Linked DNA regions of Rattus norvegicus. The protein of the gene in region 1 interacts with the protein of each later gene in a biochemical or structural test. Links are inferred from orthologs where the notes say so. Each region holds a gene or a part of one and is shown in the gene's direction. Other genes may lie near its edges.

The links.
Region 2: the proteins of Oip5 (region 1) and Mis18a form a complex in vitro, tested with the Homo sapiens proteins (3 studies listed by BioGRID). The link is inferred for Rattus norvegicus from reciprocal best matches to the Homo sapiens genes OIP5 and MIS18A.
Region 3: the proteins of Oip5 (region 1) and Mis18bp1 form a complex in vitro, tested with the Homo sapiens proteins (2 studies listed by BioGRID). The link is inferred for Rattus norvegicus from reciprocal best matches to the Homo sapiens genes OIP5 and MIS18BP1.
Region 4: the proteins of Oip5 (region 1) and Hjurp form a complex in vitro, tested with the Homo sapiens proteins (2 studies listed by BioGRID). The link is inferred for Rattus norvegicus from reciprocal best matches to the Homo sapiens genes OIP5 and HJURP.

The regions. Positions count from the first base shown.
Region 1 is NC_086021.1:127,048,285-127,055,910, reverse strand, and holds part of Oip5 (protein Mis18-beta), read left to right. Parts: intron 1-1,909; coding exon 1,910-2,032; intron 2,033-4,069; coding exon 4,070-4,151; intron 4,152-4,431; coding exon 4,432-4,543; exon of another isoform or gene 4,544-4,544; intron 4,545-6,405; coding exon 6,406-6,437; 3' UTR 6,438-7,626. UniProt on the Homo sapiens protein: Required for recruitment of CENPA to centromeres and normal chromosome segregation during mitosis.
Region 2 is NC_086029.1:43,455,314-43,462,947, reverse strand, and holds part of Mis18a (protein Mis18-alpha), read left to right. Parts: intron 1-3,255; coding exon 3,256-3,378; intron 3,379-7,526; coding exon 7,527-7,620; intron 7,621-7,634. UniProt on the Homo sapiens protein: Required for recruitment of CENPA to centromeres and normal chromosome segregation during mitosis.
Region 3 is NC_086024.1:88,927,101-88,934,734, reverse strand, and holds part of Mis18bp1 (mis18-binding protein 1), read left to right. Parts: intron 1-1,216; coding exon 1,217-2,015; intron 2,016-6,883; coding exon 6,884-7,056; intron 7,057-7,634. UniProt on the Homo sapiens protein: Required for recruitment of CENPA to centromeres and normal chromosome segregation during mitosis.
Region 4 is NC_086027.1:96,299,658-96,307,220, reverse strand, and holds the end of Hjurp (Holliday junction recognition protein), read left to right. Parts: exon of another isoform or gene 1-918; coding exon 919-997; exon of another isoform or gene 998-2,358; coding exon 2,359-3,851; 3' UTR 3,852-4,691; downstream 4,692-7,563. Other genes in the region: Mroh2a (maestro heat-like repeat-containing protein family member 2A), read right to left, coding at 6,587-6,680. UniProt on the Homo sapiens protein: Centromeric protein that plays a central role in the incorporation and maintenance of histone H3-like variant CENPA at centromeres.

The DNA.
Region 1 (7,626 bases):
ACTCAGAATTGATGTAGATGGTCACATGTGTCCAGTACTGTAACCACTACCAGCTGTAATGGACCATTAGGATGTGGACATTGTTGAATTGAGAATACTTTGAATTCATACAGTATTTCAGAAGCATTTAGGGGTAGGGGTTGAGATAGGCTCTCTCACTCAATAACCTCACTAGCCAGGAACTCACTATGTCACCTAAGCTGGCCTAAAGCTTGTGATCCTCCTACATTGAAAACTTTTTTTGTGTGAATATGTTTGCGTATGCGATGGGAGCATGCATATGTAGGCCCGGAGGTAACCGGAAGCAGTCTTGCCTTCACCATGCTGGATGGAAGGATTAAGCTCCGTGTCTCAGGGTTGGTAGCAAGTGCCTTTCCCCACTGAGTCATTTCACTGGCCCTGAAGTGACACTTTTGATCTAGTTACATCACAAATTCTTTTACTTTTGATATTGGTAGTAATGGTCTTACCTTGACCTTACAGTTCTGCTTCTGCCAACAAGTGTTGGATCACAAGCATCAGAACCTACACCCAAAATCTTTTTAAAAAGCCTGATTAAAAACTGTAATTATAAGCCTGGTGGTGGTAGGACACGACTTTTAACACAGCCCTAGGGAGGCAGAGGGTCTCTGTGAGTTCAAGGGCAGCCTGGTCTACAGAGCTAGTTCCAGGACAGCCAAGGGTTCACAAAGGAACCCTGTCTGAGAAAAACAAACAAAAACTTAATCATACATTTGGAGATGTGCTATAGCTTAGAAGTACTATGTTTGCTTATCTTGTATTAGGTGCTAGAGTTGATCTATAATAAATACTTCAAAAATGCATACAAGTTAAAAGAAGAGAATGAGATTTCTGTTCCACATTATAATCTAAAAATAGTTTTATTACCTTTATTTATTTAGTGTGTGTATTGTGTAGTCACATGCCAAGGTACACTAATGAGGGTGAGAGGACACCTTTGAGGAGTCCAGACCCAGGATCACACTGTCAAGCTTGGTTGTAGGTACCTTTCCCTGCTGTTAGTGCAGCCCTGACTTCCCCACTGTGTGGTTCTGCTTGTGTGTATCCTAACTGAGGTAAATGGTCGTTTTCACTAGTAAACTTGAGGTCTTGAGATACATTCTTTACTATCTTTGAACTCAGTAGTTGATTGTTAGATTGTATTGTATGTGACACAACACTTATTATAAATTATTTCAAAAAGTTTTTTTGGATTACAGTCTATTGGTACTTAAAGTTTTGGCCAGGCATGGTGGTGCCTTTAATCCCAGCACTTAAGGAATGAGTGACAGTGAAGAAAAATCTTTATTCCACTCCACTGCCTGATATTATGTCCTGTTGTCTTCCAGACTGACAGACTTTTATAATGAATACAAATTAAAACCTAATCGACCTTATTCTATATAAGGAAATGGAGAAACAATTGTATTTTCAATATATATTGGAAGTAACTGCCTTAAGTCCTTTGGTGTTCATGATCCAGTGGCCTAGCAAGCTATATGATGCTAACTGACTATAAGGGAGTAAAAAACCCAAAACATCTTAAGGACAGTAGTAAATTTCTTTATTAGGTAGGGAGCCATGAATTACACAAGTGGTCAGAGACAGTACCAAAATTAGTTTTGAGGATTGTATTGTTTTGTTTTAAAAGTTTTTAGTTTGTTTTTGGTCAAAAATTATGTTCTTTGTTTTTGTTTCTTTCAAACAAGAGTCTTATATGGCCCAGGCTGTCCTTGGGAGCCAGTGAACTTGATGAAGTCCATCAGGTCGATGAACTTGAGTTCCTCCTGCCTATGCTTCTGGGTGTTAGAGTAACAGATACCAACACTATACCTGATGAGGGTAGTTATTTTTATTTCTCTTTTAGCTTTTCATTATTTTATATTCTGCTTCTTTCCTTTCCCACCAGCACATACAACCTTTTATTCTGTAACTCCTGTGGGACTCCTGTTGGTTTCCATTTATATTCTACCCGTGCTGCTCTGGCTGCCTTGAGAGGCCATTTCTGCCTTTCTTGTGATAAAATGCTGTGGTGAGTAGAGACATTACTTATTAAATAAGGTTTTTAAAAGATGCTAGGAAAGTCCAGGTGTTTATAACCAAAGAAGATACAAAAGGTCAGGCACTATTTATTATAATATATACTTGCATAGGGATAAAATATAATTTTTAAATAAATATTATTTTAGATGGTTTATTGTACTGTGTCTTAATATGGATTAATTTAAGAATGTTCTTTCATTAAGGAAAATTCTGGAAGGTATGCTTTTGCAAAATAGTGTCAATATAGACAACTTGGAGATTTTATATATCTCCATCCCAAGGAAGCCAATCAGATTTTCTACCCCAGGAGTTTGAAATAAGGCCTGTGTTGGTTACTTGTTTCATGACAAGACAAAATACCTGACAAAAGCAAGCTCAGGAAAGGAGGGCTTCTTGTGGCTCAGTTTGAAGGCACAGTCCATCACAGTGGGAAGTCCATGGAGGAGATGCTGGTCATGCTGTATCAGCAGCAGGAAGCAGAAAGACAAATGCCAGTGCTTAGGTTGCTTTCTCTCAATTTTTTTTCTTGTTTTATTGGGTTTTTTGTTTTTCAAGATAGGGTTTCTTTGTGTAATAGCCCTGGCTGCTTGGGCTTGCTTTTAGACCAGGCTGGCCTCAAACTCACTGTCTCAAACTGTGTCTGGAGTGCTAGGATTAACAGTGTGAGCCACCACTCCTGTTCTCTCTATCTGTCCTGCTGACCCCTGCTCTGACTCTATGGGTTTTTCCTATGTTCGCTTCCTGTCAATGGTTGCTTGCTGCACGTCTTGATCTGCAGTTACTTTACTCAGACTTTGCTTACAATAAACAGCTCTCGGATTAAAGGTGTGTGCTAAGGCTGAGCCACACCACAACCAGAAACAGGTTTTTCTAGTACACAGTTTCTGTGTTCACAGATAATCTTCCTTACTAATTAAACATTTAATCTAAGATATTTTATTACAAGAAACTGAAAGAATGGAGAAATGGCTCAGAAGTTAAGATTACTTAGCCAGACATGGTGGCACATGCCATTAATTTCAGCACTCAGGAGGCAGGGGCAAGTGGCTCTCTGAGTTCAAAGCTAGCCCAGTCCACAGAGTGAGTTCCAGATTGCCAAGACTACAAAGGGAAATGCTGTTTTGAAAAACAAACAAACAATAATGTAATACTAACATATTTTAATGTACTTAGATGTTTGTAGTGATTTATGTAAGCCAAAACAACATTTATAAGAAAGTCTCCTTTAACTCTGAGACCATTAGTGGCCACTTGGCTTTCCTGTTATTCACGCAACTTCCAACAGTGTCCTGGCATTATACTTAAATAACAAACATACTGTAAATTTCTACTTCCTTTTCATGTCTTTGTTTGTTTGTTTGTTTGTTTGTTGTTTTTTTGCTTGTTTGCTTTGAGTAGGTCTGGCTCTTTGGCCTGACTGGTATAAAATTACAATGTATATATAAAGAGACATTATTGATTCTGTAAATTCTTTTTCTCTAGAGAACCCTGATGAATTAAAGACATAAATCATAATGCCTGGCTTCTTTTTTTCCCCCTAAGTTATTGTTATTTAGAATTATATTTAAAAAGAAAAATAAGCATTAAAAAGCATCCTCTTATTTTTTTTTCCTTCTCATTTTGTGTTTTATTTTGTTTTGAGACAGGGTCTCTAATATCCCTGGCTGACCTGGAACTCCCCATCTAGTCCTGGCCAGCTTTCAATTCCCAGAGGCCCACCTGCCATTCCTTCAAAGTGATGGCGTCAAGGCTGCACCGTACTGCAGGGTAAAAGTTGTAAACTTTTACCAATGATGGTTATCCATCTGATTCTGGATTGTCTTTAGTTTTTCCTGAGACAGTTTTGTTACTGAGAATGGCAAAGGTTCAAGCAGAGTTTGTGGTTTTAATTGATATTTTTTTTTCCAGTAAAATACACCATGCTGCTTCAAACCATAAGGAAGGTTTTACTCAACAGATATTTTAGAGGGCAAGTTTGGTCCATTGGTAATGGTACTAATATTTTCTCTATATATTTTCTCTCTAGCTATCTGTTAAAAACAAAGGCCATAGTAAATACATCTGAGATGGATATTTACAATGTACCTTTACCAGAAAAGATTGCAGAGGTAAACCTGGTTGTATAGTTACTTACGTACACAGCATTTTCATTTTGGGTTTCCCTTTTGGAGACAGGATTTTTACTATGTATTTGTCACTTGTCTCAATTAACTATGTAGAACAGGCTCTCCTAGAACTAAGCTATATCCATTCCCTTAATACAGGCAATTTTTAAGTGTGTTTGGTTTTGTTTTGTTTTTAGATTTGTTTTATTTTAAGTCTGGTAACATTATAAGCAGCAAATCAAGGGTTGAGTATAAGATGTCCTCAATCTGTGTCTCTCCTCAGCTGAAAGAGAAGATAATGCTGATGCATTCTCGTTTAAACTCACTGCTGAGGGTTCTGAAGGAAAAGACTCCTCCTCAGTCTGACCAGGAAAATAGAACAAGCAACAAGCAAGGTAGCGTACAGAACTTCCTTCAACACCCGAAGTGCTCTGGTCATTTCTTCCTTCTTCTTTCCTTAAGGTCTCTTCTCTCTCTCTCCCTGCCCCCCCTTCTCTCTCTCTCTCTCTCTCTCTCTCTCTCTCTCTCTCTCTCTCTCTCTCTGTGTGTGTGTGTGTGTGTGTGTGTGTGTGTGTGTGTGTGTGTGTATGGTTGGAACATGTGGGCTGTTGCTCATGGAGGCCAGAAGAGAGCATGAGATTCGGTAGAGCTGGAATTACAGGCAGTTGTTAAGTGCTGGGAACTAACCTCTACAAAAGCTGGAAGCTCTCTTAACACTTATCCATGATCCATCTCTCTAGTTCCCATTGGTCTTTTCTTTTTTTTCTTTGGTGGCGGGATGGGGGGCATTTTGGTTTTGAGACAGGGTCTCACTATGTATTTCTAGCTGTCCTAGATCTCACAAGGATCTTCCTGCCCCACCAGAGTACTGGGATTAAAGGCATGTGCCACCATACCCTCTTGGTCTTTAACTTTTTAAATAATATTAAATATTAAGAACAGAGGGCTGTCAGATCTGGTGATGCCTGTGATCCCAACACTTGAAATACAGGAAGGAAGATCACAAGAGTAAGGCAATCCTTAGCTGTGTTATGGATGTGAGGCCTCCCTAAAGTTCCTAAGAACATGTCCCACTATCTGTACTCATCACATTGTTTGAGAATATGCCTTCAAGCCTATTTCCCCAGCTCATCAGCCCACTCCTGCTTTGGGGAGTCAGTGTTTTTCCTTTTCATAATAAGCTGTGACCGTAATAACTTTTTTAAATATTTATTTATTTATTGTGTAATTATATAGAAGTATACTGTAGCTGTCTTCAGACACACCAGAAGAGGGCATCAGAGCTCATTACAGATGGTTGTGAGCCACCATGTGGTTGCTGGGATTTGAACTCAGAACCTCTGGAAGAGCAGTCAGTGCTCTTAACCACTGAGCCATCTCTCCAGCCCCCGTAATAACTTTTATTTGCCTGATGTAGCTGTCTTCTCCAAGGCTTACTGCGTCCATCTGCTAACCTAGGCCTAGTTCGGGAAGCTTCCAGCCTGTATACAGTCTTACCTAGATCTAGAATGTTCTCAGCCTCTGAGACTTGCTGCTGAATAAGCTCACCCTTTCTAGTTCTTTCTGAGCTCCAGCTGGTCAGCTCAGCTCTTCTGGCTCACCATGCTGACTGATTCAGTCTGGCTTCTCAGCTTCTGAGTTGCTCTGCTTGACCTCATACTAACTTATGTTATGGCAATATGTTCTAATCTTCTGGCTCCCTCTGTCTTTAACTGTGTTTAGCTTGTTCTTTCTTCAACCTGTCTGTAAAACTACATCTTCTTTTCTCTCTGCACTGCCCCTTAAGTAGCTTCCTTTTTCTCTCCTCATTAGAGTAGGGTATATTCTATTCTGTCAAGTCTTTCTCCAATTCGTCACCTTGTCGGCCACTCAATCAGATATCATTTTCTTTTTTTTTTTAAAGATTTATTTATTTTGTATATGAGTACACTGTAGCTGTCTTCAGACACACCAGAAGAGGGCATCAGATTCCATTACAGATGGTTGTGAGCTACCATGTGGTTGCTGGGAATTGAACTCAGGACCTCTGGAAGAGCAGTCAGTGCTCTTAACCACTGAGCCATCTCTCCAGCCCCCCAGATATTATTTTCAAACATGGGTGCTTCCTTCTATACTTCTAACTTTACCTTGGTTTGGGATTAAAGGTGTGTATTAAGGGTGTGTATGTATGCTTTATTCCAGCCATTGGGAACAAAGGTGTGCGTGCGCGCGAGCTGGGCCATACCACAACTAGAAACTGTTTTGTTTTGTTTTTCAGGAAACAACACAATCTTGGGGTTCATAGAATGATCAAAGATCCTGCAGCACGTGACTCTATTACTTTAAATTTATTTTACTATGTTGATTCCATAATGCTTATTTCTGAAAATGTATTTCACTACTAATAACTAATTAGCATGCAGTGTCCCTTGTGTCCACTGACGAACAGAATGAACAGATGGCCTGGATAAAGAAATGGAGTTAATAGAGATGGTACTTCTACGTGCCAGTTATATGAATACTTATAAATACTTGTTTATTTGTTTTGAAACAAGGTCTCTCTCTATAGCTTTGGCTGTCCTGGAACTTTCTATGTAGACCAGGGTAGCCTTAAAGTTATACAGATCTACATTCCTCTGCTTCCTCTGCTAGAATTAAAGAAGAATGTCACCAAGACATCATTTTTGTTTATGTAAAATAGATATGTACATTGGATGGTGGCGGTGCATGCTTTTAACCCCAACACTCTGGAGGCAGAAGTAGGCGATCTTTCAATTCAAGGCCAGCCTGATCTACAGAGTGAGTTCTAGGACAGCTAGGCCTACATAGAGAAACCCTGTCTGGAACAAAACAACAAATATATATGTAATAAGTAACAGTTAAGAAATAGAATGCATGCACAATAAACAATTTGTATCTTTTTGCTGTTGTTTTTAGGTAGGGTCTCATTTGTAATCCCCACTTTGAAAGGTTATGTGGACCAGGCTGGCCTTGCACAGAGATCTACCTGTCTTTGCCTCCTAGATTTTGAGATTAAAGATGTGCACCACACTCCTGTTTGGCCTGCAGAAGCTGTCAGATCCCTCCCCTGGAACTGGAATTATCGGCAGTTAAGGGTATTGGAAACTGAACCCTAGGTCTCTGAAATAGCAGTAAGTGTACTTACCTGCTGAGCCATCTCTCCAGCCTCACAGACCGGGACTTAATAAATTCATAATACGGGGTTGGGGATTTGGCTCAGTGGCAGAGCGCTTGCCTAGGAAGCGCAAGGCCCTGGGTTCGGTCCCCAGCTCCGAAAAAAAGAACCAAAAAAATAAATAAATAAATTCATAATACATTGAATAATTCTTGAGACAGGATCTTTCTCTGTAGCCTAGACTGGCCTCCAATGTAGCAATTCTACCTCAGCTTCCTGAGTGCTTAGTGGCCTACCATGCTCGACTGTGGATTTTTAAAACACATATGTAACTTAACATTAACATACTTTATCAAAGTTTAA
Region 2 (7,634 bases), on another chromosome or scaffold:
TGAGCTGCAGTGTGGGTACTGGGAATTGAACCTGGTTCTCTACAAGAGCAGCCAGTGCTCCTAACCATTGAGCCATCTCTCCAGCCCAGAAATCTCAGCTTCAGATGATGTTTCATTTTGTGACCAAGGACAGTAATCCCCAGGAGAGCTCCTCTGGCTAGAGCGCTGATTCAGGACCTCTTACAGGGCTGTTGGCATTTGCCTTCCTGCCTCTGAGGCATTCTTTCTTTCGATTTCCCAGCTTGAGTCTTTCAACGTCACCTTCTCCATGTGTGTCAGGTCCACTGTTTATGTACTCATCTATGTTAATGGGAATTAAGTCAGCTTCAAGTTGAGAAGGGAACTGCTTTTTGAGAAGTCAGCCATCTAGATTTGAGCTCTTTACCTGCATTACCTATACCCATCATTTGTATTGCCTTAAATTGCCTTGGGTTTCACTAGGGCCCTATGAAATACTGTATTGTTTTGGGATGCTTATGCATTTTTCAAGGTCCTTTCTACTGAACATCTGGCTGAGTCATTGCTGTGGTCAATCAAGCCATGGGACGGGCATCAGAGCCGGGCTGTAGAGCTAGCAGTACTGTCTGTTTTTCTCATTTCTATCCTTTACCTAGGCTCTTAGGATTGAGCCAGTTCTTGTTTAAAGTTGCTTTATAGTGCCTGGTATTGCTTCTCAGTCTTGTTCAGTGATGGGCTGAATTAGGCCCAATGATAGTGGCCATCTACTCCCGACTGTTCCCCAAGGGTATTCTAGGCTCTGGGTTAGTGTGGACTGTGATGAAGAACATGTACTGGCTAGTTTATGTTAGCTTAACTCTAGCTAAGGAGGAGGAGGGAATCTCAGTTAAGAAAAGCCTCCATAAGATGTTGTAGGCAAGAATGTAGGGCATTTTCCTAATTAGCGATCCATGGGGGAGGGGCCAGCCCATGGTAGATTCTGTAAGAAAGCAGGCTGAGCAAGAGATAGGGAACAAGCCAGTAAGCAGCACCCTCCATGGCCTCTGCATCGGTTCCTGCCTCCAGGCTCCTGTCTTGTTTGAGTTCCTGTCCTGACTTCATTCAGTGATAGACTATGATGTGGAAGTGTAAGCCTGATAACCCTTTTCCTCCCTAAGTTGCTTTGATTATGGATACAATAGAAACGCTAGGACAGACAGATCCCTTGAAGTTGGAGTTACGGCAGTATGAGCCACTATGTAGATTCTGAGAACCCCACTCGGTGCTCTGCAAGAGTGGTTCTGCTCTTAGGCACTGACCCATTTCCTGACCCCAGCATGTATACACTGCTTTGTCTGGCTCTTCAGTGGCAAGAACAGTACTTAGTGATAGCAGGTCCCCTATTAAGGAGGAATTAAAGTACTTGGAAATATTAATCCATTGTGGTGTACATTTCAGTACTTTAATTAAGAGTAGACTAAAAATCCAATAATAATTTGGTAAATGTTGGGACTGTAATTTTCTTACAGAATGGTAATTTAAATACACTATTTGCAAAGGCTTTTGGGAGACATTGGACTGATTGTAAGGACATTTTAAAGATGTGAGTGGGCACAGAGGGAGAGCCAAGTCTGTGGAACAGGAGCTGAGAAGACTGGGACAGTTGTGCAGAGAAATAATGGAAACTGAAGTAAAATGCTGTGAGTCGCCTGTGTTGACCTATCTCTAGTTGATGGTAAAGTGTTTATGTCAAAGTACGGTGTAAGGAAACAAGGCAGGTCTAACCAAGACAGCAGATGCAGTCAGCAACTGAGTTACCTCCCTGGTTGTGATGACACACACCTATAATCCCAGCACTCGGAAGGTCGGAGGCAGAAGGATCAGGAGTCAGCCAGGAACTTGTCACAGCTGATCTCGCATGTGGCATCATCGCCCCACTGTGCAGAACATTTCTTAAAGTCTGCACACCTGCCTGCCCACTACAGCAGCAGAGCTGCGGACTGGTGAGTGACAGGGCATATTTTTGTTTATTTGTCTCTTGATTTTGAAGACAGGGTTTCCATGTGTAGCCCTGCCTATAGTGGGGCTTGCTGGATGAACCAGGCCAGCCTCATGCTTAGAGATCCTCCTGTCTCCCAAATGCTGGGATAAAAGGTGTATACCGCCATGCCTGGTCTGTGAGTCAGACTGGTTCTGTTGATACAGTACAGGGCTAATGCTTACACCAGACACCTGAAATGTTTGTTCTCTGTCATTATAGAGAAAAATTGCCTGTTTTCCTACCTAGAATATTAATGATGGGTTGGGCTTTGTAAAAGATATATGGAATCTTGTTTGGATTTGGACTTTTATATGCATCTTTATTTTTCTATCTATCTATCTATCTATCTATCTATCTATCTATCTATCTGTCAATCAATCATCTACCTATTTTACATCCTGCTCACTGCCACCCTCCTAGTCATCCCCTCCCACAATCCTTTCCCCATTCTCCCCTCCCCTTCTCTGAGTGGGTGGGGTCTCCCCTATATATTCCTGCCACCATGGCACATCAAGTCTTTGCAGGGCTAGGTGCATCCTCTCCCACTGAGGCCAGACAAGGCAGCCCAACTATAAGAACAGGATATTTGGAATCTTTCTGTTGCTTTTCCAGATTTTAAATAGTTTGTCTTAATCCCAGATCAAGGACTCTGTGTCCTGGGAAACCCTGCCTTGGCATTTGTTTACATTTCTTATCATTTGTTGTCCATGGTGGTGTGGCCTAGAGCTGTGCTTGCAGTTCTGCAGTCTTTCTGCCTTTGTTCTTTTCTTCCTCATCTATGTGACTTAATATGTCAGAGTGAAGCTGTGTGTGGCGATGCAGTCTTGTCACCCCAGCACTTGCCATGGGAGGATGGTGTAGGAGGGCTGGGCTACAGAGGAGACCCTGTCCCAAGAACAACAGAACAACAACAGCAGCAGCAGTGGTCGCAGTAGCCCCTGTCTACCTCAACTACCTAGGGGTTTATGGACCTTACTTAGTTTAAGTTCATTTTTACTTCTTTAAGTCACTCTGTATGTGTGTGTGTGTGTGTGTGTGTGTGTGTGTGTGTGTGTGTGTGTGTGTGTGTGTGTGAATGTGTGTCTGTCTGTCTGTCTATGGAGGTCAGAGTTTCACTATATGGGTCCTGAGATCGAATCAGGTTGTCAGGTTGTCATTGTCAGCAAGCACCTTTACCTGAGCCATCTTGCTAGCCCCAGCTCATGGATTTTAGCAGGGAGGACTCTTATCTTAGGGACTGCTGCTCTCCCCTGAGTGGTGGCGTTTCTCTGTTGCAGCATCCTTGAGACGTTGTACTGTTCAGGCTGCTCCCTCAGCCTTGGCTATGTGTACAGATGCACTCCCAAGAACCTGGATTACAAGAGGAACTTGTTCTGCCTCAGCGTTGAAGCCGTTGAAAGGTAGGTGTAATAGATAAGTGCTGCCTCTTGACTGGTTCTCTCTCATAGAACTAGGTATGCAGAGCTGTGTAAGAACAACAGCACTGGGGTTGGGGATTTAGCTCAGTGGTAGAGCGCTTGCCTAGGAAGCGCAAGGCCCTGAGTTCGGTCCCCAGCTCCAAAAAAAAGAACCAAAAAAAAAAAAAAAAAAAAAAAAAGAACAACAGCACTGTACTGTGTCAGCACTGTAGGGTTCTGGCCGAAAAGCCAGTGGTCACCCTTGACCCAACTTTGGGTCTAATTTATTTGGTATCGGAAAAGACAGACAGATTATAGGAGAACATGTGTGACCCCCCCCCACCCCTTTTTTTTAAGTAAAAATCAATTGAAGTTTTTGTTTATTTATAATTTATTTTACTTTTTTGGTTTTTGTTTTGTGAGATAAGATTTTTCTTTGTAGCCCTGGCTACTCTGTAGACCAGGCTGGCCTCACACTCAGAGATCTGCCTGCCTCTGTCTCTTGAGTGTTGACACTAAAGGCATGTACCACCGTTTCAGTACAGACTCTTAGCTGACTTCAAAGTTAAGATCTCCTTGAAGCAAATACTTCTGCTTTGCAGGTCTGGGATTGCATGTGTAAGTTTGCCTGGCAAGGTGTTTTTAAGCAATTGTGTGGACCAGTATGTACTGTCCATACTTTCCTGTCCCCATTATGAACTTCCTAGAACAGTGGTTCTCAACCTTTCTAGTGCTTTGACCCTTTAATACAGTTCCTAATGTTGTGATGACCTCCAACCATAAAATGATTTTCGTTGTTACTTCATGACTATAATTTTTCTACTGCTGTGAATTGTAACGTAAATATCTGTTATGCAGGATGTTTATGTGAAAGGATTGTTTGACCTCCAAAGGGAGGTTAAGAACCATTGCCTTCAAAGTTCCTGAAGAGGGGCTGGGGATATAGCTCAGTGGGTAGAATGTTTGCCTAGCATATATAAAACCCTGGGTTCAGAGCCCAGCACTGTATAAACTGAGTGTGGTGGTGCACACTGGGATCTCAGCCCTTGGGAGGTGGAGGCAGGAGGATTGGGACTTGAAGCTACACAGAGAGTTGGCCTGGAGATCCATGAGACCGTCATAGAACCACTCTAACTCCCAAAAAGAATGGCATGAGGAATCTGTTACTGAAGGAGTTCCTTTGATATTTTAGAAGACTAGAATATGAGTTCAGTTATTTACTGTAATAAGGAACTGTAATTTTTAATTATATTTGTCACCTTTTGAAACCAGCAAGTTTAAGTAAAAATTTTATAATCTACAAACCAGTTCACATGAAAGAATCACTAAGCAAGCAGTGCTCCATGTTACAACAGCATACGTGTGTGTCTGGTAGTCCATGTTTGATTAGCAGGCTGGGTCCCGGACAGGTGATCCCTTAACCTGTGAGCTGCTCATTAGGGTCAGCGACAGCGAACTGAGGGTGCACATGTCTGTAAAGGAGAGGGCATCTCAGCCATGAGTGCTCACCCTCCGGAGGCTGAGCAGGGGTGAGGCCAACCCTGGTTACCCAGCAAGATCTTCTCTTAACAGTAAATAATGATAAAATGGAAGACAGAATTTTAATCCAGGGGGATTGGAGCAAATCCCTCTCTGTTTTGTTTTGTTTTGTTTTGTTTTGTTTTGTTTTGAGACAGGGTCTTACTATATAGTCCTGGCTTGCCTGAACTTGCTGTGTAGACCAGGCTAGTCTTCAACTCAGAGATCCACCTTCCTCTCCGCCTCTGTCCCTGCCTCCACCTCCCAAGTGCTGGAAGTAATGCTGTGCACCATACCTGCTGACACTGTTTTTATTTTTAAAGAAGGAGTGGTTTCTTTGGCTCAGCCTTTGGGGTGCAGGGTGGAGAGGGTGTTCACAGCCTGAGGGTGCAGGGTGGAGAGGGTGTTCACAGCCTGAGGGTGCAGGGTGGAGAGGGTGTTCACAACCTGAGGGTGCAGGGTGGAGAGTGTGTTCACAGAGCCTGAGGGTGCAGGGTGGAGAGGGTGTTCACAGAGCCTGAGGGTGCAGGGTGGAGAGGGTGTTCACAGCCTGAGGGTGCAGGGTGGAGAGGGTGTTCACAACCTGAGGGTGCAGGATGGAGTGGGTGTTCACAACCTGAGGGTGCAGGGTGGAGAGGGTGTTCACAGAGCCTGAGGGTGCAGGGTGGAGAGTGTGTTCACAGAGCCTGAGGGTGCAGGATGGAGAGGGTGTTCATAGCCTGAGGGTGCAGGGTGGACAGGGTGTTCACAGAGCCTGAGGGTGCAGGGTGGACAGGGTGTTCACAGAGCCTGAGGGTGCAGGGTAGAGAGGGTGTTCACAGAGCCTGAGGGTGCAGGGTGGACAGGGTGTTCACAGAGCTGGAGGCAGCTGGTCACACTGCACCTTCAGTCAGGAAGGAGAGAGGTGGGATTCACAGCTTCTTTTTCTCATTTTAAGGTCAAGGTGGGGGTCTCACTCTCTGTCCCTTGCTAGTCTTGAACTCAATGATCCTCCTGCCTCAACCTTTGAGGGGCTAGGATGCCAGGCTAAAAAAAATTTAAAATGATACTATCAGTATAAAAGAAAAAAATGTAAAATATTTTTTTGTAGAAGATCACAATATTGAAGTTATTTTTCTCCTTAAGAATTGAATTTAGGGGGGCTGGGGATTTAGCTCAGTGGTAGAGCACTTACCTAGGAAGCGCAAGGCCCTGGGTTCGGTCCCCAGCTCCGAAAAAAAGAACCCCCCCCCAAAAAAAAGAATTGAATTTAGGGGGGTTGGGGATTTAGCTCAGTGGTAGAGCGTTTGCTAGGCCCTGGGTTCGGTCCCCAGCTCTATTAAAAAAAAAAAAAAGGAAAAAAAAAAAGAATTGAATTTAGGATCCTTGTTACCTTATGGGACAGGGTATGAACCCATGCTGAGGGGTCTGAATTTATTATAGAAGTGTTTGCCCGGTATAACATTTATTTACAGTTTAAAATTTTTTTAAATCAGTTTTTTTCCAGTTTATTCCTTTTTTTCTAAAGAGGGATTAATCACTGTCTATGGTTTTTTTACTATGCTTTTTTCCCCAGGAATATAAACCGTAGGTTTTCCAAAAGAAGACTTATTATTTCTTTATCATCTTATGTGTCTGGGTGTTTGCCTGTACTCATGTCTGTGCACTACATGGGTGCAGTGCCTGTGGAGCAGAAGTGAGCATTGGATCTCTGGGGGCAGAATTAGGCCATTGTGAGCTGCCCTGTGGGTGCTGGGAACTGATCTAGAGCCACCGGGAGAGCAGCCAGTGCTGCTGAGCATCTCAGCCCTGGACACTTACTGACAAGATGGCATGAAGTCACTGTATGAGGAGAAGTGGGAAGGAGTGTGTCCCTCCTCGTGTGGAGATTGATGAGGTAGTTCATGGGCCAGGCTGCTGCCGCTTTTTTTAAAAAATAAAATTGTAATACTTATTCAAACGATCATCCCCCGTAACCCTAGAGAGCTGTGTAAAACACAAATTGAGGTTGTCTGACTCTTACTTCTTAAAACTTTTCTTACTTTGTGTTCGTGGGTGTTTTGCCTGTGTGTATATGTGTGTGCCACGTGTGAGGTCAGCAAAGGCCATCAGACCCCAGAGCTGGAGTTAGGGAGGGTGAGCTGCCTGCCACGTGGGTGCTGGGAGCCAAATGAACTCAGCTCCTATAGGAGTGGCAAATGCTCGTAACCGCCACTGCCTGTCTAACCCTGAGGTTGTTCAGATCCTGGTACTCAGGGTCTGTCTGTCCCACAGATGTGAAATAGACACATTTCCTGTCTCTGGAAAGCCGTGTCAAGCAAGCAGTGGTCTCTTAGGTTTGCTCTGTTTGTCCTTGGGTCTCCAGCTGTCATGGTATTTTGCCACCTGACTACCTGAGGAGGAAGAGGAGGAGGCTTAGTCCAATAGTGAACTATTTCTAATAGAAAGTGAGAATGTGGGGCTGTCTGCCCAAAGCCACCCCAGGGAGGGGTGAGCTTATGTACTTTGGCCTCCTCCGGTCTCCATGAAGAGACAACGGCTGTGTTTAGTTATTTGGTGCTCAGAGTCATGGACTTAGAGCTGGCATTGTGAACTACTATAAATTTGATGTTTATTCCTTTTCTTACTTAACTCTGTAATGTACTATACCTCAGTTATACCTTAGGGTCCTCTGAACAGCAAATCGTGTCAGAAGAGGAATTTTTCAATCTTGAAAGCAGAGTTGAAATAGAGAAGTCTATAAAGCAGGTAATTTTACTCTA
Region 3 (7,634 bases), on another chromosome or scaffold:
TTTCTTATAACTTGTGGCTAACATGACAGTAGGTAGGGATGGTGCTGGAGCAATAGCTGATAGTTCACGTATGACCAGAAAGCATGAGACAGAGAGCTAACTGGTATATCTACCATTATATCTTTAACGGCATGGGTTTTTGAAACCTCAAAGCCTGCTCCTTAGTGACATACTTCCTACAGTACCATCAATCTTCTAATGCTTCCCAAACAGTTCCATTAACTGGGAACCAAGGGTTCAAACGTGTGAGCCTATGGTGCCCATTCTGGTTCAAACCACTACAGTAAACATAAATAGGAGTTCATACAGTTAGAATTTCGGGTCGCTTTGCTTCTGGTTTCTCCATTTTTGGATTGGACTGCTGATCTCATTTGCTTTTTTCACCTATGCATGATAGAATAGATACCAAGTTCTGTAGCTTTAGTTAATTCCCACCATTCTTGGAAATTGGGAGAGATTTGCAAAGATGTGCTGCTTTGGCCATATTGAGGATGCAAGTAGAGTGTACAGATAGAGTTTCACATTTTCCTAATTACATCCTTAACTAACAAAACTTGTTTTGTATCTTACATGGCTGCTTAGTGGATTCCTTATCTCTTTAGCTATTTTACGTTTTGAGAATTGATTTTTAAAACATTTGTTTAGTATCTACTAATTCTTGAGTGTCTGCACTAACATCAGAAAAAATGTTTATAAAAATTAAGGTCTGACATTAATGATTTTCTCAGTCTAACCAAAAGATAAACCTGGTGTAGTACAACTAAAATGTAGGACACCAAAATGGCATTTCAAAAAGAATTGTGGGAATTTAATGAGAGAAAGGGGGAGTTTAGAGATACAGTGAGCTAAAGAATAAATTCAGAGCAAGCAATTGAGGGTCTTACAGATTAAGGAACATTTTAAGGGAGAGGAAACAATGAAAATTCAGACCTTGAGAAATACAAGGTCTAATATCCATAGAGTATAGTTCTAATTTGTGGTCAGTAAAAGACTGAAACTATATTGAAGGCCAGGTAGAAAAGTTGCATGCATGCCAGCCAACTGGAAAGTCAAGTCATTGGCAGAATTGTATACATAAGTACATGCTTACATTTGAAGTGACAGTGATCTTAATAGACCAGTGCTTTGTGTAACCTGTCAGGAAAAAAAAAGTCTTATTTCGTAGAGCATTTTCTCCTGTACTTATGAGATTTTTCTGATTTCCAATGAAATAAAGAGAGAACTGAAGTTTTAAATGTACCCATTGATCCATTGAAGTCACTGGAACAGCCTACCTCCAACAAAGAAAGACACCCGCCTCTTGGTCAGAAGGAAGCTTATGTTTTAATGACACCACTTAGAACCACAAAGTTGATAGAGCAAAGATGTATGGAACACAGTCTCTCTATTGAAGGAGTAAGGGGTTTTCTCAAAGCAAACCATCAAGAAGAAAGTGAGTCAGACGTACATGGAATGTCTACCAGCAAGTCCTCAGAGACCTTTGAACACAGTGTGGATTATAAAGGCAGTTCCAAAGAGGACTGCAGCAAATGTGACATAATCACTGTCACACATAGCATTCCAATACCTTGTCCCAAAAGTAAACAAATGTTCACCAATGACTTTAAGAAAAAGAACAAGTTGCCCTCGAAACTGCAGAAAACTGAAAATCAAATAGATGTATCACTGTATAGTCAGTCCTCATCACATTTGTCAAGTAAAGAGAATGAAATAGAAGTTAAAGGTAAAACCAGAGCAAGAAATAAAAAACAAAGGCTGGATCAGCAGAGAAAAAACACAAACTACATCACAAAAGATATCCTGATTTCAGAATCTTCAGGTGAGAGTGGTTCTTATGTCACACCAAAGAAACCTAGATCTTCTGCTAAAGAATCACATTACAAATCTGATATTACCAAGGACTTTCTAATTGAAGTTAAGGCATCTGATACAACTAACGGGCAACTGTTAGACCATCAACCTGGTTCAACTGATGATGGAGAATGGAATGAACAAGAGTTACAGAAACTTCATCGGTAAGTAGTTTTGTCTCTGGGATGTGTGCAGAATAGTTACAACATAGCAGAAAGGGCTGACTTAAAGATATACTAGTGATGTTAGCGAGCTTTTCAGAAGATGTGAATAATTATTGTGCTTGTAACTCGTGATAAATCACATTCTTTAAGAACTGAAGTTGAGTTTGGCTGGAGAGATGGCTCAGCAGTTAGGAGCACTCATTCACTGGAAGCTCTTCCACAGGACTGGAGATTGATTCTCAGCACTCACATAGTGATTTACAACTTCTAAGTCCAATTCCAGTGGATTTTCTGCCTTTCACACCTCTGCACAGATATAGGTGCAGGCAAAACACTCATTCACATAAAAAGATTTTATTAAAAAAAGAATTGAATTTGACTATAGATACTTAATAAAAGTTTCCATAGTGTGTTAGTATGAAAACCAGATCATAATTGACTTATGAAGCCTAAATAGGAAAAGTAAAGAGCTATGACAACATATGTAGACAAGTCAAGAAAATTGGCAAAAATGAGGACTAAAAATCCATGTGTAATACAAGGAGTATGGAAACAGTGAAAATAATTTGGTTGTTTTGCCAGAGGGTTGATGCTAGGGTAGAGTGGTAGCTGATGGAAGTGATATAGTCAAAAGAAAGGAAGACGTAACTGATAAAGAAGAGGCTGAGAGAAGAACGTGTGACATTTAGCATTCTATTTACTATATGTCCTTAAAAGTGCTTTGGAATACATTTTGAGTCCTTTTGAATGTTCTCTCTGAGACATTTCTATGATACTGTACAACCTTCACTGATATTTTCAATTCCCTACATGATCCCTTTTTGATTATTTCTCAGGCAAATAATTCTTTTTTACTTCCTGAAATTCTTTTTTTTTTTTTTTTTTGTCTGTTTTCTTGCTATGGTATTGTCTTAGTCAGAGTTTCTATTCCTGCACAATACATCATGACCAAGAAGCAAGTTGGGGAGAAAGGGTTTATTCAGCTTACACTTCCACATTGCTGTTCATCACCAAAGGAAGTCAAGACAGCACCACCCACAATGGGCTGGGTCCTCCCCGATTGATCACTAGTTGAGAAAATGCCTTACAGCTGGGTCTCATGGAGGCATTTCCTCAACTGAGGCTCCTTTCTCTGATAACTCCAGCTTGTGTCAAGTTGACACAGAAAACCAGCCAGTGCAGGTGTGTTCCTTAGTGATCTTTTATCCTCCACATTTCTGACTTTCTTCTTTGTACAGTGGTCCTCAGATTTATCTGTGGCCCTGAATTGCTATATTTAGATTTGTATTTACATTTTGTGGTGAATATAACGATATAAATGTTGCTTAAAGATCTGACCATTAAAAATTGAAAGAATATTTTTATTGATAATTATTTTTGATGCCCTTGGTAATTTTTTAAATTAATTTTTCTTTTCTTTCCTTTTTCTTTTTTACTTATTCACTGTACATCCCTCTCACTACCCTCCCCTCCAGGTCACCACCTCCCACAATCCTTCCCCGCCTCCCCTTTTCCTCTGAGCCAGTGAGGATACCATGGGTCTCCCCTACCCTCACCCCCTATGCATAAGGTGCTTTCTTTCCCACCGAGGCCAGACAAGGCAGCACAGCTAGTAGAGCACATCCACATACAGGCAACCGCTTTGGAGCTATCCTCCATTCCAGTCGTACCTCTGCTACAGATGAGTGGGGAGATCTAGGTGGTAATATTTTATTTCTGAAGATAAAGTCCTTTCCATCAAATATATTTAAACTCTGCCATTATTGGTTAAAAAAAAATCTTATTAATTGCTAAATAGCCATTCCATAGGTCCATCTATGTGCAGCCTATTTTCTTGCTATTCCTCTCTCTCAGACCTCACCTATTTAATGCCTGAATTGTAGAACCATCTTTGTGCTTGTCATTTGTACTTTCCATCTGGGTAATCTAGCTCAGATATGTTCAGGTCGGGCTTGAGATATCACTGAGACCCAGGCAGTAGCAGTGCATACCTTCACTCCTGGCAGTCGGGAAGCAGAGGCAGGTGGATCTCTGAGTGTGAGGCCAGCCTGCTTTACAAAGTGAGACCCAGGACAGCCAGGTCTGTTACACAGAGAAACTCTGTCTGGAGAGAGAAAGAATATGTAACTGAGAATCTGAACTATCAGAAATTTTCATTCCATTTAATATCACTTCATATTTTATATTCTTCTGCTTTAGGTCAAAAGCGGGCTGTGCTAGCAATTTTACCTTTTCTAGCTGTATCTCTCAGCATTTCCTTATAATACAACTTTTTAACATTATATTTTTTTTTCCAAAAATTTGTTTGTTTGTTTGTTTGTTTGTTTGTTTGTTTACTTACTTACTTACTTGCTTTCTTGAGACAGGGTTTCTTTGTGTAGACTTGGGTATCCTAGAACAAGACAAAGCTGGCCTACTCTTCTCAAACTATTGATCTGAGTTTCCCAAGTGCTTGGATCACCTATACCAGCATACAAAGCCCCTTCCTTCCTTCTTTCTCCTCCCTACCTCCTTCCTTCTTCAGTTGAAAACTTCTGGAATGTTACATATCACCAAACCTAGGGTGAATATCCTTTTTCTTTCTCCCTTTTATAGCCTCACCTAAGCTAGACTTAAGGCTAAAAGCAATCAGGAAATGGGCCTTCAAGACAAACAGAAGTTTGTCCATTCTAATTCCCAGTTCTTCCTTTTCTTCTTCCTTGGTAATCTAGTCCAGTTATGATCCCACAAGGATTATCACAGCGCATCTTAGGGTTAGACATACCTAAAACCCAGATGAAGACCATTTTTACCTATCACTTCACTGCAGCTATTTCTTATCACCTGTTCTGATTCCATTAGATGTGATTTCTGGTTTTCTGTGAATAAAAACCTATTCTAGTTCTTGCCAGTGATATAATAATCAGTTAATGAGCATCTGAAAATGCAAATTACTACATTCTACAAACTACATTAATGCAGTCTTACTTAGTGAATTGAAATCTTCAATAGCTTTGTATTTTTTATTGTGTTGATACCCTAGAAAGCAGGTGTTTAGCACATATAGTAATCACTGTAACAAGTTTATATGTATTTATGAGACTGTAAGCACATTGTGACCTACTCTAGATGATATGGGAAAGGTGAAAGATCAAAAGTGAGCCAAAGATTCAATGTAAGTATTCATCTAGAAAGGGAGAGGGCATATTGGGAGGCTGGAATGAACCGAATCCTGAAGGTTGAGGAGAGAGCACATGAGTAAGGGGACTAATGCCAGTCAGAATATCACCGTAAGTTAGAGCAAAGATTTTAATGGCTGTGATTATATGTTAAATTTACCTCATTATTTACCTGGAATAACTTGGAAGATAGTGATAATTACTGACTTTTATTAAATGCATTAAGAATTTTTAATGAGGGCTGGAGAGATGGCTCAGTGGTTAAGAGCACTGACTGCTCTTCCAGAGGTCCTGAGTTCAATTCCCAGCACCCACATGGTGGCTCACAACCATCTGTAATTGAGATCTGATGCCCTCTTCTGGTGTGTCTGAAGACAGCTACAGTGTACATATATATAGTAAATAAATAAGTCTTTTAAAAAAAGAATTTTTAATGAAAAATAGTTCTTTTAGGCAGTCATAGATTTGCCAATAGTTTTATACAGAATTAGGGAACCTGATACAGTTGATGTAACATTGTCATATTATTTAATTATCCCTAATCTGAAAACTCAGAAGCTCCAAAATCTAAAACTCTTTGTCCTAACAAATAACACCAGTGGAAAATCCATACTTCACCTCCTGTGACAATGGATCACTAAAAAGACTATATGAAACCATCTTCTAGAGGTTGGTATGACTTAATAATAGTATCATGCTTCCAAGCTATCAAAGAAACAAACCTCCGTAATTACTTTTGGTCTGTATGTATGAAGAGATATATGAAACATGAATTAATTTCATGTTCTGACTGGATCCTGAAACACTTGTATCTTAAGTATATGAGATAAGGAGTATTTACCCTGTGCCATTTTAGGGTAATTGCTGAATTAGTTATCTGGCTTAATTGTCACCTTAACCACAACATAACAAGTCTTCATGGGAGTACAGGGAGGTGGAAATAGTATGGTAGGCTTTAAAACAGTGATTTGCAACAGAACTTTTAGAGTTTCATTTATAGGTTGAATTGGAACCACCTTGTATTTATACTTTATTAGTTTTTTAGACCCAGTATTACTATCCTTAAATTTTAACTTTTTAATTTCTTTCCTCAACTTTTTCTAGTACGGGTATCACAGGTATATGTCACCATGCCCAGCTTCATTTTTATAAGTAGTCTTAAAACATTTGTATATATTTAAGGATTTTCCTATGCTATTTCTGTTTAATACACTTGTCATGCATTGATCATGCCTATTCAAACCTAATCGTAAAACTATGAAAGAATTAGGAGTTTATCTTCTTGTAGATTTAGTACTAGTAAGACTTGATAGACAATACATAGAAATTAGTATATGCCAGAATTCCCTCAGAGATGAAATCATTGACTAGTTGGACTTAGGAAAAAAATGTTGAAAGATTAGAAGATTTTTCATATCTAATAGAAATAGTTTAAAGGCATTTTACTAGACATATACTGTTATATCTTCATAGTTTATTATATTGTAATAATAAAATTATGGAATAGAGAGATTGGTATCTTTTCTGAACAGTTACCTAGAATGATTTTGTCTTAAAAAAAAATCCTCCAGCTTAGTAAATATCACTGATCCAGTATGTTCTCAGATTATTTTCATTGATTTGAATTTCTTGTTCACTGATTCAGTATGTTCTCAGATTATTTTCATTGATTTGAATTTCTTGTTCTTCCCTGGTTTTGGTCTGCTGTAGTGCTTTTGCATCCCTTCCAAAGCACAAACCTGGCTTTTGGTCAGATGTGGCTATGGCAGTAGGTTCTCGAACTGCTGATGAATGCCAGAAGAAATACACAGAAGAACCCCAAGGCAGAGGATCTCGAAAATATGTCTCTAAGAAAAAGCAAGCCAACTTCAAGGTCCAAAATGGTAAATTTTGTTATTGTATTCTCAGAGTACTTACTGAAGTAGTTCTCAACCTTCCTAATGCTGTGACCCTTTAATGAAGTTCCTCATGTGTTGTGACCTCCAACTATATAATTATTCTTGGTACTTCGTAACTGTAATTTTGATAGTGTTTTGAATTATAATGTAAAATCTGCTATGCAGGATAGCTGATATGTGACTCTTGTGAAATGATTGTTTGACTCCCAAGGGACTGTGACCCACAGGTTGACAACCACTGGCTTAATTATTACTCATAACTGTTTACCAATTACATGTTATATTTACTCATGAATTTGTATCTTTTTTTTCAAATTTTAAAATCAGGAACATAAAAGATAATATTTTAAGCCTTATGTAATGTAGCTAATTCCATCAATAATAGTTTAGAAAGTTTTTTTGGTTTTTTTGTCTTTTTTGTTCTGGGAAGCTTGATATTGGATAAATACTTGAATGTCTGGGGGATAATTTAACTTGAGCATATGCTTTCAGTCCCTGTCATCCTCTATGGAATCTACCAGTTTTCTGTTTTGTAATCTGAGATTTACTGCTGTCCATGACTG
Region 4 (7,563 bases), on another chromosome or scaffold:
AGGCAGGAAGACGACTGCAGGAATAGCCTCGCTCCCAGCACAGGCTCGTTCTGCTACACCACAGCGCTTTCTCTCTGCTGGGTCCTTCTACAGCCCAGGGCCACCTGCCAAGGGATGCCACCCACAGTGGGCTGGGCCGTCCTTGGTCAGTTAGTAATCAATACAGCCCCTCACGGATATGCCGAGTACCTCGTGGACATGCGGACAACCACCTGATGAGGACTGCTGTTCAGTTGAGACTCTCTTCAGGTGACTGTGGGCCCTGTCAAGTTGACCGCTGATGCTAACTAGAATAGCTGGAGTTGGTCACCTCTAGATGCCCAAATTCTGTTGGCATCTTTCATGAAACAAAGGACACCCTAACATCCTAATGCCATATGTCTGAAGAGTAGTGTCAGGTAACAAGCACTTTCCCTCTCATGGTGGCTGTGGGTCCCCATGAAGTCAACATTCTCTCTGTGCTGGTAACCAGCTGAAGCCCGTGTTTGGACATCCCTTGACTACTGTCCCTGAGGTACATTCCCCTTCACCTGGATCAATAGATGGTATACTTCTGGCTGTTCTGTGATCGAAGGAAAAAGTCAGAATTAGGCCCAATTGTCTGGCTTCTGCCCACCATCTCCATGGCCTTTGGATATTCTGACTAGTCCAAGTGTAATGGTAGACAAGAGCCACTGATAGCCGGGCCAGGAGTAGCTGCCACAAAGGTCTCTGTGCCCTTGTAGGCAGAGGTCACATGTTTTGGGGCCACCAGTTCCCCCTGGGGCTTGAACACTAGTCAGCATTATGGTGCGCACTTGTTTTGAAGTGGGAATAACTAATGTTATCTAAGGACAGTGTGTTTTTAGAGAGAGCCCAGATCCATAAACACAAGGTCTGAACATCCGAAACCCTTTTGATCACTGGTTCTGATTTCAGAACACACAGAAGGGAGATGGAAAAGACACGGTCACGACTTGCTTTCCTTCCTGGACGTCACCTGTCACACCAGCCCCTGGTGAGTATGAGGGAGTGGTTTGACGTGAACTGTGTCTTTCGTCCCTGGAGACTTGGTATCACCTGTGGTGGGTGTTCCACATGAGTGTGAGGAACTGTCATCGACAAGTGCTGTCCTGGGAACAAAGACTGCTCTGGTATAGTCTCACTGTAGCCCAGGCTATCCCTCTGAAGTCATTATACCAGTTGCTGTATAGACCTTTGCCCTCATCAGTTTGAACATTTGAAATCTGCACCACAGGAGTGAGCAGCAGCCGCCTATCTGCCTTGTGTGTCACAGGCAGCATTTATCCTCGCCCTTTCGCTGACCCTCCCCAGAACACATGTATGTACACAGGCGGTATAGATTTATACATGCGCTTTCACATGTACTTTCCAAGAACTGGGTGATTCTCCATGATTATAAAAGATTCAAAATGTGCCAGAAACTTCTCATTGGCATGACACGAGTTTACCAACTGACCCATGATGTCCTTTGTGGCCATTTTTGTATTAGGCCCACTCGGGTGGCACCCACTGAGTTTAGCAGCTCCTTGAGTGGCCATCACCGTGTCAGCCTGTCTCCAGTGCTCCATTTGAGGCTTTTCCTGTTTCTGTGGGTTGGATTTTACTCTTTGAGATCTATGAAGTACTCATGTAATGCAGAAGTCATAGCTGCACCATGCATACATAGGTCCTACCTTCTCAGCCATCCTCTAAAGGTCAGGAGTTTTTTTGGGGTTTTGGTTTTTTTGGGGGTTTTGTTTGGTTTTTTTCTTTTTTCTTTTTTTTTTTTTTTCTCTCTTTTTTTTTTTTTCTTTTTTCTGCTGTATATATGTGGTGCGTGTGTATGTGTGTTTGCATGCATGTGTTTCTGTTCAGGTGCCACAGACCACAGAGGCCAGAAGAGGGCCCTGCTGGAGTTGCATTGTCTTGCCCCACGTGGGTGCTGGGAACCGAACGCTGAGGCTCTGGAAGAGCAGCCAGTGCTCTTAAGACTGAGTCGCCTCTTTCTTCTGTCCCTTTTGTTGACTTTTCTTATTAAAATGTTTGCATCGGTGGAATTTTTCTAATTAATTTTTTGAGGGTTACATCTGTGTGTGTGTGTGTCTGCGTGTTGTATTGGCTTTTGAGCCGACAGCCATCTCGAAACAGTGTGAGGAGGAGACTCCCTTAACAAACCTGGAGTGAAAAACAGGAGTTCAATTTTGATTGCTGAAATGAAATCTTCCAAGAAGAGTTTATTCCTTAACCCTTCTGGGGTTTTATTTGTGCTGTTTTAAACTGTCGTGATTGCGATGCCCTCACCAGCTCCCTGCTCGGTGGGTAAGGATGGGTGGATCGAGTGGCGGTTTCCCTTGACTTTGTCTGTTTCTCCCCTAGGATGCCAGGATGGTATCCCTGCAAAGAGCTTTGGTGGTCCTGAAGGGTCTGCTTCATCCTGCGGAGACCAGGCTTCCTCATACCCTTGCCCAGCTGACATGACCATTGTGACTAGAAATGACAGCTTCTCCTTACTAGGGGCCAGCAGCAACAGTGTAAGCAACCAGTGCCCTGAGGTTGATGACATCAGCAATGTGACAATCAGCGATCTGTATGAAGGCATGATGCACTCCATGAGCAGGCTGCTGCGCTCAAAGCCGTCGTGCATCATCTCCACCAAGACCTCCATTAACAGGAACTGGAAGCTCAAGAGGAGGCTCTCACGAAAGCATGGGGTGCACAAGAACACGACATACTGCCACAGGAGCAAACCCTTCCAGAGGAGCTCTAGGAAGGGGCCCCTGCACTGCTCAGAGCCCAGGAAAGAGGCCAGAGTATTAAGGGACTCCAAGAACTTGCCGCATGTTGATCCCCACAAGACAGACAAGACAGGCTTAGAACTGGAAAGTGTTCCTCTTGAAGGAAGCAAACTCCAAGTCCATAAATTGAGTCCAGCTTGGAAGGAGCTCCAGGGGCTGCCTCAGAAGTATTTGGGCTTAAGCACAGTAAACCACCTTGGGCGAGAAGACAGGGTGAAGGCATTACAGTGGTTAATTTCACCCGTTAAAATGGCTCCCAGGCTGAGGGTGCCTCCAGGTCAGGTAGAGAACTGGTATAGAGAGGTTAAAATCAAATTTGAGAAACTCCATCAGGAATGTTGCCCATCTCCTGAGAAACGGCTTCGCCTGACTGGCCCTACGCAGTCTTGGGCTGCAGACATGTACAGAGGTGGCTCTAAAAGCCCAGGCAGCCGCCAGAGTGTAGAAACCCACAAGCTGAGTTCACCTTTGAGCAGAGAGAAGACAGAGAGGCCAGGTGAAGCTTTTGAAGACCTGAGGGGAAGGTCTGTCAAGACAAATAGCTGTCTCCTAAGGAGGGGCCCTTCTCCAGAGGACAGCCCGTCACAAAGTCCAGGTCATTCTCAACAGAGGTCTGGCCATCTTCAAGAACATAATTCTGAACCAATCAGAAAGGCAGCATGGCCCAGTACAGCCATTTCAGCACCGGACTTTCCAGACTGTGGAGGTCACTATGACGAGCTTAAAAAAGAATTCAACAGACTTTATCAGAAGTATTGTCTGGTGTCACCTCGGCATGCGAAGGTGACTTTGTGTGGCAGACTATCTCCAGTGAAAGCTGCTGCAGCTGTTCCCGGTCAAACAGAGCACTTGAAAAGATTAAATCCAGACTCTCCACTCCAGAGTTCCCAGAAATGGTCGCCATCTCCTGACTGGCGCATAAGAATTCCACAGGATTCAACTGCAGTTGAGGGTCACAGGTCTGCACAGACTGCTAGTGCTGTTGTGAGAGGCCCTTGGTTGTCAACAAAGAGGCGCAAGTTGTCATACCCGGCCAAGTCTCCAGATTCCTCGGGAGCAGCAGGCCGGCTCTGAGTGTCCTGACTGCTGGCTGCGTGTTTGTCCGTTGGACATGATGTGTAGTCAGTAGCTGCTTTGAGGGAGAAGACTTGGCAGACGCTTTTCTCTTTGGAGGTGGGCCCAGAGCATCAAGTGTGCTGAACAATCTTTCACTGCAGCTCCCAGTAGCCACTTGGCCTCTGCCCAGCCACCTCCCCCGCACCATATCACAGCGCCACCTCTGTTCTGCCTTGGGCTTCTCCAGCCAGCCTCGAATATGTCTCTAAATCATATTCAGGGGATTCTCGATGGCAGTTTTCCTTTTGACTTTAACTGCTTACATTGTCTTTGCTCCCCGCTCCCCACACCCATCTTCACCTTCCTCTCTTCTGCTTTTGTGTAGGTAAGTGCCCTTCTGGAGGACATGGTGTAAGTCCATGGGTTGGGTAATAGCCCGGACCCTGCTCCCACCCGTTGGCTTAGTCTCAGGAGCTCTGGTTTGGGGGTGGGGTGGGGGAGATGTTTTGTTTTTGAGGCAGTCTTACATAGCTTGGTCTGACCTTGAACTCGTTGGATGGTTGAGGTGACTTCAAGTTCCTGATCCTCCTGCCTCTGCCTCCGTTTCCCAAATTCTGAGGCTAATCTTTGTTTTCGGATTTATTTCCATGGGTACAACACTTTATGAGCTGATTGAACTGCCAAGAAGGGAAGGGACCCACCTGGGGTAGAGCCATCGATACAAGGAGCAGGGCCAGACCTCAGACTTCAACAATACTAGCTGGGTCTCTGGTCACCTGGTGTGGCAGGTATCCCTGGCAGGGTATGCCCGCCAGCAGGCTCCCTTCGCTCTTGGCCTGAGCTGCTTGTCTAGCTGTCTCAGCCTCCTAGACCAAACTCCCACCACGGTGCCCCGGTGGCCAGCTCCAGACACTGCGGAAGGGACTGAGAGCGTACTCGTGTCCAGGTCACCTCAGGGTAACCTGAGATTCCAATGGGAAGGAAGGCCACCGGAGGCCTTAGTCCAGAACCTGCTTTCCTCACCCAGCCTGTGTCCTCAGCCTTTTGCTTATGTCCCCCGCTGTCCCAGGAATACAGCTGTGTCCCTTGCCCCGCCGTCTGGACCTTCCTCCAGCTCTAGCGCCAATGAAATACTGCTACTTTGTTTTTAAACCCTGTCTTGCTATGTATCCCAAACTGATTGACCTTGTAGCCCTCTGCCTCAGCCTTCCTAAGACATGTGCAACATGCCCCACCTTTGAAGTCCCACCTTCCTGGTACTCTACTCAGAGAAAATCTTGATTTTTACCAAAGCCTGGAGACCTCTCTCGCCCGACCGCTAGAGGAGACCTTGACTTTACTCTCTGTAAAGTCAATCAGTTTGCTGGTTGGTGGGAGTCACAGTACTTAGAGCTTCGTCCTTGGTCCTCACCACTTCCCTGAATTCAATGGCCTATCCTTAGGGCCTTTACCCGATGCCTTCTCTAGTCCCATCTTCAGCCACACTGAACACTCAATAGCTTCATTTTCTGTTTCCTTCTCCTTCAGCTATAACAGATCTCCACATTCAGTGACAACATGAAGGATATTAAAGCTGGTTCCTTCTGTGCTGGACCAGTAAGCCTTTTACAGACCTTACTCTATCCACCTAAGGACCCCTCAGTGACACTGATGTGAGCAGTCTCTGTTTCTCTTATGAGGACAGTGTGTGTCTGTGTCTGCCCACTCCTAAGTTCACTCAGATGGGGCTGACTTACCCCAGGGCACACAGCTGGGGTAGCAGCAGCAACCTTTGTCATCGCTGTCACTGCAGTGTGACAATGAGAGTTCCCACGGCGGGCATAAACACAAGTGCAGTGCAGTAGACGTCAGGCATAGTGGCAGGCCTTAAAGAACTACGGGAATTGTACTAAAATTATCTCTCATCGGTCCGGATGGAAAGGTGATTTTTGTTAGGAAAATTTTTTAAAGTAAAAATCTTGCCTCCCCCTGCCCCTCTTGCCTCTAGTTCTGTTTTAGATGGGGTCTCTGTCACTGTCACCTAGGCTGGCCTCAGACGCACCTCAAACATGCTGTGCCACAACCGTCTGTACCGCCTTTGCATCGCTTGTGTGCTGCCCTGCTTGACCTGTCTGCCCTTAACGCCCCTCCAGGGCAGCTGGCACTGTGGAAAGGGCCTGGTGTGGTTTTGCAAATAAAGTTGTATTGTTAGCGTTTTCAATGTCAGTCGACCCTGTGGACCTGTTTGCCTCAAGTTCTTTTCTCGCTGTGGCATGCCATCTAGAATTGTGCGCCACGTTCTGTTGAAACATCACTTGCATATGAAACCTACAGTTGAGCCCCAGACACGGTGATCCCTGAAGTTAATAGGGCCGTTCCCTTTTTTAAAGAGACAGCCAGCTAAAACTGCTTGAGATTCACTCACATGAAGGAATCCCAAGATTTAAAGGAAATCTCTGAAACAACTCTGAATTATTTCCAAACACTCTTGCAGCCCTGTAGCACCCATGAGGCCTCTTTCTACTGTAGAGGTTGCCAGCAGCTAGTCTTCCTGAGCAGTTTCAATCATTCTGTGTGTGGTAACAGAATGACAACTGTTAGTATACTGCCTCTTGGGATGGTTTTCAGTGTAAGGCTGAAGGGCGGACTTTTCTCCTGTCCTTCCCTTAGAATGGTTCCTACGGTCTCTCTTTTTCTCACACTTCCAGCCAAGACCACATTTGTAGTACCTGCAAGTCAGCAATTGGCCATGGCCACCAGCCAAGCCGCTGGTGTCAAACTGCTAGTAAATCGATTAAGGGTTGAAGGCTGAGATGGTGTAGGTTTGGCCAGTTCTGCTGAGGTTTCTTTCTGGCTATAGACAGCTCCCTGAGGTAAAGAGATCCTGTGAGAACAAAGCTCCAACCGAATGTACTGGCTTACTCAGAATTCTAGCACTAGAGAAGCTAAAGCAAGCACACTACATTAAGGGCTAGCCTGTGCTACAGAGTAAGAGCCTGTCTCAAAAAAAAAGTACTGTTTTTATTGTGAGGACTCCATCTAACCTTTCTGGTCTGAACATACACACACATAGTGTTGAGCCCAGACAGCATTGCACTGAGCTCAGGGCTTCACCTAGATTTGAAGAACTCAAGTTGGTATAGCAATAAAATCTGAGAGCCTGGCACCTTGCAGGATGCCCATTTTGGCAGTGCATGCAGACTTGAGCACCTCCAGGGCAGGCATGGTCTCTGCATATCTAGACCCTTCTTTGGGCCTGATCCTTGCTGAGAACTAAGGGGTCCAGTATCCCCTAGCGGAGGAAGGCAAGCAGGCGTGGGCAAAGGTGGAAGTCAAGTGTATGAGCTCTGAAAGGGAGCAGTTAACTGGAAACTTCTCTTGTGTTTACCCAAATAACATTGTATACTCTGCAGGTTTGCTTCACATCTGACAGGAGCTTGCACGAATAGGAGCTGTGGTTTGTGTCCCCCAAAGACTTATACTGGAAGTGTGTCCCCAGGTAGCAACACTGGTAGAGGGGTGGGGGTAAGTATCTCAGACTGATTAGGGACTTTGCCTCCTGGCAAGAATTAAGGACTTTGTCCTTGTTGATTTCCCAGAGTGGTTACAAAAGCCCAGGCCTGACTTCACCCAATTTTCTAGCTTACCGTTCGGTTGGGGTTTTTTGCTGGGGGTGGTTGTGCAAATGATGCCTGCTCCACCCCCACATATTCTCATATCTGACACCAGATCTCTTGACTACCGCATGGCC